Linked DNA regions of Lytechinus pictus. The main gene of each other region encodes a partner of the protein of the gene in region 2 in a complex. Links are inferred from orthologs where the notes say so. Each region holds a gene or a part of one and is shown on either strand. Other genes may lie near its edges.

Evidence for each region. The genes of interacting proteins can lie anywhere in the genome.
Region 1: peregrin-like (region 2) and chromatin modification-related protein MEAF6-like share a complex: the UniProt entries of both Drosophila melanogaster proteins name them as parts of the enok complex. The link is inferred for Lytechinus pictus from reciprocal best matches to the Drosophila melanogaster genes Br140 and Eaf6.

What each region holds. Positions count from the first base shown.
Region 1 is NC_087246.1:18,104,965-18,108,722, reverse strand, and holds the start of chromatin modification-related protein MEAF6-like, read left to right. Parts: upstream 1-927; 5' UTR 928-1,078; coding exon 1,079-1,159; intron 1,160-2,067; coding exon 2,068-2,180; intron 2,181-2,939; coding exon 2,940-3,024; intron 3,025-3,758. UniProt on the Drosophila melanogaster protein: Component of the Enok complex which has a histone H3 acetyltransferase activity. Might be involved in transcriptional activation of selected genes.
Region 2 is NC_087247.1:47,613,686-47,617,443, reverse strand, and holds the start of peregrin-like, read right to left. Parts: upstream 2,663-3,758; 5' UTR 2,229-2,662; intron 1-2,228. UniProt on the Drosophila melanogaster protein: Scaffold subunit of the histone acetyltransferase (HAT) Enok complex which has histone H3 acetyltransferase activity.

The sequences.
Region 1 (3,758 bases), on a different chromosome or scaffold from region 2:
ATCTTCATCTTCATAGCAATTATGTATGTATGGATTGATTGATTGATTGATTGATTGATTGACTGATTGATTTTATTTGTCAAGAATATCACAGGTAATATGAGATACAATGAATTATAAGAATCCCGTGACACGAAAGCCGCCTTATTTCCAATGGGGTCCTATTGATAGTAAACAGTAATATATTGTAACAACAAAATGTATAAACCACAAGTACTGGAACATGGCGGTAAGGATATATCCATCGATCAAATAATTTGCAAAAACCTGAAGAACAATAATCTACCTTATATGAAACAAGGTTATATTTTAACATATATCCTATATAGGCCTATTATTTATACTAGAAACCAACTGTACAATTAAGGACCCCCCAAAAAATAAAAATAAAAGAATACTTTGATTTTTTTTCCAGAACCATTTCGTGTGTTAAGTCTTTAGTATGAAAACCCCTTTTTTAGCAGAATTTTTCTGTGTGGTAGGCCTATAACCTTGAACTGATTGCAAGGCTCCGTAACACAAAGCTTAGCGATGAATGGCAAATATGAAAGAATTCTTTCATATGATGAAAGAATACTTTTATATCCTGGTCAGTATCGGAACCAAATGCGTGTGTAACATTGATCTTGATTGGTCAGTCCATTTAGCGATTGATCGCTAATCTTTGCTATGTGTCTTGTCTGATAATCTATACCTCACAACAAATAAAGTCTCTTTCACTTTTTGAAAAAATTGCTAGGTCTCTTTATCATTCCTGACCGAGGCAAAAGTTATTGATAATATTATTTGAGAGTGATTTGACTAATTATCTACTATCAATAAGCACTCGATTCTTCATTTATTAGAGTTTGATATGCTTCTTCTTGTCTTGTCCCATTTGAAACCTGCGCATTATACCCTTTTTAAACCCGTCTTCTAAAAAAGCTCATTTTTCTCTATCAGATCATCAGAGTAGCTCGTTTTTCCATCATTGTGTTGCTTCCCTCTACGTTCGTTATTATTATATTCGCGTATAAATTGATTGATTGATGATGATCGGACTTTGCCCAGATGCGGAATTTTTAAGGTCGAGAGAAAAATGTCGTCCAAAAGTGCGCAGCAGGCGTCAGATACGAGAACAGAATTAGCGGAATTGGTGAAGAGAAGATCAGAAATAGCTGTAAGTATCATGACATCCTATACCGTTAAGTAAAATACGGTAATTAGATGTCAGATTAATGAGTTTCGACAGATTGCCGTACGGAAAAGTGCGAACATCTGGCCCTGCGCTGCTTGACCGACGGTATACCGGCACATGCGAAGTTTACGCGAACATATCTAATGGGATTTTCACAATAATGTGATATTTTTACTTAAAATGCACAAAGCTAATTCCCGTCCCCGTATAGATCTACATCATTGAATCAAATAATATATTTACGCAGTACAATTGTCAAATGTTGAATACATTGGTGTTTTTTTGAATAAATTTATTGATTTAATCATATCATTATGATCAGATGAGAGATAATCAAACACAGTCAATCAATGACAATGTTTCTTAAATGACAAACGTCCACTACACTACAGCCTACAGGATGAATACCAGGCCTGGTGAATCACAAATAGTGTATTTACAAAGAATAACGATGTACACATTTTGCCAAGATCAGCTTTCTTTTTTTATGATATCGGCTTTTGATCGCACCCCTCGGCCCTCTTCGCATGTGAAATATGTTTGTCACTTGAAAATGGTATTACCGACTCTGTGTTTTCTGTGGGAAAAGTTTGAAACTTCACAAAATCACCTAGTTCAACCATATTTTGTTATTTTGAGAATAAATGAAGTGTGTTTTTGGCTTTTATAATTTTGTTCATCATTTTTTCTAGTTGAATTCCCTGGCTTTGGAAGGATGTTGCAAAGTTTTGAGAATATATGGAAATTATTTTCTGATGCGTAAATTCATGTGTTCGGTAATTACAAGGCCAATCCGTAAAACAATCACTCACTTTACTGACTTTAACTTCAATGAAAGGGGTAGGTATTGTCTTTAAAAAAAAAAATTAACTTGAATATCCTATGTACAGGAGACACTTGCAAATCTTGAAAGACAAATCTATGCATTTGAAGGCAGCTACCTGGAAGACACAGCTTTGTATGGCAACATTATAAGAGGATGGGACAGATATCTAACAAATAAGTAAGTAGGAAATAGGAATATTGTTTGTTGTTTACATATGTATTTGGTTATCACTTGGATGAATGGTTTTTCAGATATGGGTGATTTTAGGGCCGAGTCGAAGTGGGCAATTTCTTCCAGACCGATGGACTGCTAAAATAAAAAATATAAGAAATTTAGTGTCACCAAAGACTGAGAATAGCAACCATTTTCAGGCCTTCATCTAGATTTATACCGTATATCGAAAATTACACATGATACTATATATCTAAACAATAAATCAACCCAGTAACGCTATGAAAATAGTAGCACTGAGCAGGATTTCTCAATTTTCTTGCTTGAATTCATCGGCACGAAACCTTATAATCCCTGTGGCATGGATGCATCCATTTTGTTCTGTTTGCAATTTCTAGCAGGGGGCACAAGTGCTACTCCACAGCAATTTTCAGCACCGGGTAACTAAGAGTTGCAAACAAACAAAACAACAGAACAAAATAGCTCATTAGCATCTCTCTTTTTTTTTTGGTTAAAATTTTTCATTAATCTCTAAATGCAAGTGTATTCAGGTTTACAGTTGAGTTTCTGCGCATATCGTTTCTGGTACGCCTCAGAATGTATTGTTTTTACTCAGCAATATGTTACCAATTCAGTAAGTATTTGGTCTTGAATTCAAGAAAAGATTCAATTCTTACAATTAATGTTGGTTTAATGATGATTGAAATATAAGAGATAATATATGAAATATAAGAGAATATGCGAGTAACATTTTATTATTTGCAGGAGTACCAATAGTAAGACAGACAAACGAAACAGAAAGTTCAAGGAAGCTGACAGACTGTTTTCTAAATCAAGTATTACATCTCAAGTAAGTGTTCTAGGGGAAACCAGTCTTTAACAAATATTGAAAGAAACCGGGCCAGGAATGGGAAAGTAATGGCTGTTTAAAACTTTGAAATATGAGATTACTAAGACTACATTAATTTCAAATTGGCAATTCTGTGTGTTGTGTTAAAATGTCATACTGAGTCAAACTTGAAAAAATACATTTTAGTCATCACAGTGACATCACTTTTCTAGCCATTTTGTAGTCTAGGTGTAGAGATTTCAACTTTTTACATAGATCTTTTAAAAATTCATAAATGAAGGGTGAAATTCCATGATATATGCATATTTAATACTTTGTCAACCAAAATGGAAATGACATATATTCATGTTTGATTTATATTTCAACATGAGACTGAGATGTAGGGTAAAGGGCAATTGCTTTAATTGCCTTAATACACAATATGTCATTTTTTCAATAGTTTTCTTAGTATAATAGTTTTATGTCATAGGCAGATGTTCATACTATATTTGATTACTGCCCTGAGTAAAAAAAAAAAATGTTCGTAGAAGAAACAAGTATTAGTACATGGCAAATTTGTTTAAATTGGTTTAGAAATGAGCTATATACAAATATTGAGTCTTGTAAATTGGTCTCGTACAAAAATAAAGGACTGATGATATTTCCATTCAGGCAAATAAGCCTGTGATCAATGTGGGCATTCTTTACAGAAAGTTCTTGACAGATATCATTGGAGTGTTGCATATACTGTGACC
Region 2 (3,758 bases):
TTAGTCAAGTTGGTCCATATTGTCACATTAAAAAAAAAAAAAAATATTGTATAATTCAAACAATAAAAAAAACCAAACAAATAGTGAGTGAGGGACATCATCAACTGTCTCATTTGCATGTCACTGAGTTATGCATGGGTGTTTTTTTTTAATAAGCGAAACTTAAAAATGTCATAGCTTTGTTATTTTACATCCGATTTTGATGAAATTGTCAGTGTTATGCTACAGTACATGTAGTTTGACTTTTCTCTATTTATTCTAATAAAATAAAAACATTTTCCTGTGGTGGACTTGACCTTTAATATGCATACAATAACAGATAATTATTCATTTTTTGTTACAGATTTAATTATTGATGTTACAAGATTAATACTGCTAAATACTAGGGTGATCCAATGTTGCATTAACTTTTGACACCAAACACATTTCAAAATTCATATTTACATTGCATAAACCCTTTCCACAGAGGATTATCTATTGTTACTGGTGGTGCTGTGACAATGCTCAGCACCCCCAGTAACAATAATATAATCCTACGTGGACAGGGCCCTGTTACATTGAGGTCTATGTAATAATTAGTTGTTAATTAGTCATTTTAAGAAAAAAAAAGGTATTTGAGACTTAACACTTTTTCACTAAGAATGGTAATACCTGTAACATCCAAAAAATAATTTTTTGGACCATTTTTACCCTGTTCGCGAAATTGGACCACCTTATGACATGCGACCATATGCAATGCACTATTTTTTAAGTTTGTACTCTACATGTAAATAATTAATTAATATGAAATATCAATTCCTTTTTTTTTTCTTTAATCTGATTTTGTATCATGAAATCACTACCATAAAAAGTACCACATTATAAAATGGAAAAAGTGATCATCATTGGCAGGCCCCTAAAACACAGTATTACACTTTGGGTAGACATGAACTTTAAGAAGTAGGCTACAGGCACTCATCTAATGAACAAGGTTATGATACATGTAGTCACTGGGTGGGGGAAATAACGTTGGCAATGTTTGGCGTAATTTTCTCTTCTTCTTTGGGACAAATGCTTGATTTTATTGTCAGTTTCCTCCATTACAACTAGATCTATTCACCATATAACTTGGCTCTTAGGCAACTTAAATGATTTCAATTATTATTTTTTCTAAATTAAAAATAGATTGTTGAATGACAATTTTCTTGCAATTTTACTTTCCACCAATAGAGGGCCTACACAAAAATATGCCCAAAATTCAAGTTTTTGAGCGCTCTGGTGAATACAAAAATAATCCCGAAGTTACTAATAAAAAATAAATTGCAACTGTATTGAAATCAGTATCATTGGTTTCAAAAGTGATATTTTAATGATTTTTTTTTAATGTGTTTGTAGAGGTCTACTGCATACATGTAGGTCTCTGTATGTAGTTTCCAATTCCCCACAGCTAACACTAGTAACAGCTAAGGCAGAGTGGTTGCAGTGATCAAGGAAGTGGCTACAGGTAGTACAGGTACATGTACAGTAGTTTTGACCACCATAAATAGACTTGGATCTAAGACTGTAGATTCTACCCTTTTCACAAACTTGTATTTTAAAATAATGATTAAAATAAGACTCAATCAAACTCAAGTCAAAGTTAGACAGAAGAATATCAACTTCATTTTCAGTCTTCATTTCATATTTTAAAAAATGCAAAAGTATTGACAGACACACGTCACATTTTACAGTTACACATTCATTCTCTCAACAAGCATAGTTCTTCTTCCTATGGCCTTGGCATATTATCGTACTCGTTGTGCTTGTCAAGTGCCCAGATGAATAGTGCGAGTAAAAATCTCTACAAAATAGTTTCCTTTGCTTTATTTGAAAATACAATTTCATTGGACCTTCCAAAGTTCCAACTTCCAAGACACAAGAAAGATAGCATACTGAACTACAAAATACAAGTACATAACAAAGGAGACATATCCGGCTTGATAGAGATCTTTCTAGCAAGCTAGCCGCGCTCGTTCAAATGTTTTAGTGACTCATGAATATTCATGCTCATGCCCAACGTGACGAACTCGAAAAAAAATTGTGCACGCCCTGTAAAAATGGGCCCACCTCTTTAAAATAGAATTTCATAGCACTTTCATGACTAAAATTTCCCCCAAAGTATTTAAATGACGTATGTTGGGGTAAAAAAAAAAAGCTAAATCCGGACTGAGCAAGGTACAAATCGAAAGCTAACTTATCACATTACCGACCTGTTCTAGCTGCAATCGGCTGCTGAGCTGAGCCAGTTGTACGCACGCTCCATGCTATATGCAGTGTTGTAGGCGGGGAGCGGAGAAGACACGGTTATGTCCCGTTGAACACACAGCTTAGCTCAAATCACTTGTGCTCTCATACATACAGCACATAGCAAGGCTTTTCGAAAATATCTGTCCGAACAAAGACGCACGAACAATGCCTTGCTTAATTTAAACCATGAATTCGTCCAAAGCGCGTCATGAAAATTCACAGTATGATAGTCCAGACTCTGCTTGATATATTCCAGAAGACAATGGTGCAAAAAGTTACGCATTTAACGAGATATTCGAAGCCAAATTTTGACGATTGTACTGTCCTGATACGCACTCGACGGGCTACCCTCCGCTCATTTTCAGACATCTTTTCGAAGGTACGAAAAGCGCCCCCCTAGCTTTTCAAAAATTACGCTATGCTCTAACGCCATCTTTAGTTGGAATTCGAGAAAATGTGGAAATGTTTTTTTTTTTTTCAAAAGATTTTGACCGGAGAGTTGTGAGGATGTTTAGATAGAGGGTGTAAATAGCGATGTTTGTCCTTAATTTGCTCACAATTCATTATCGCTGGTGCCGAAAATTATTCTGCATGTTGTGAACTCTCTAACCCATTCCCCTCGTGCACACTAAATAGACCATTTATTCACCATGACCTAGTGGGAATGAAGTTTTAATGAAAATAAATGATATATTTGTGAGCGAGCAAATAAACCACATTTTGTTATGGCATATAAAAATACTTTTCTGATGAAAATTGTTTTATTAGTAATAATTGATCATTATCAATTAATCAATCTATGAAGAGACGGGGGTGTAGACCTAGTCTATATTTGTCTTATATTCATGATTGTCTTCCAGAAGGCCTAGATATTTTTCGGTCATCTCACTAATTGCATTTGTTTGCTTTCGAAACTATGCTACATTGCTACACATCTATTTTAAGATTGTCTGCAGATTTATGTGAACGAAGGCAACCACAGCGAGAGATAAAAATAGCATTCTATGTATATGCGTATTACAGTATAGGTGAATTTTTGTATAATCAAATACCAGGGGAAAAAAAAAAGGAGAAAGAAAAAAAAAGGGGGGAAAGGGTATATAAAGGGGGTAAAAGAGAGGGGAAAAGAAAATAAGAGGAGGAAGACCAGTGAATGAAATAAGATGAGGGGAAGACTTGGAAAATCTTCATTGTCACTTTAAAAAATTTTCGCTCTCGCTTCGCACTCGCATTGCCTGATCGAAGATACAAATCTTGCTAAATGGGCTGATATAGGGCTTAAAATATAAAGTTTGAAGTCAATATATAAAAACATATTTCAACTCGGACATCAAACTTTCATTATTTTGTTTGATTTACAAATTAATTTGAAAAAAGTGCTTTGTAAAATGTCGGTTTATACGGTCTGAATATTAACATTTTCAGCTCGCGCTGCGCGCTCGCATTATTTGATTTGTCAAGTACATATCCTCTTCGATTCCATAAAGCAATAT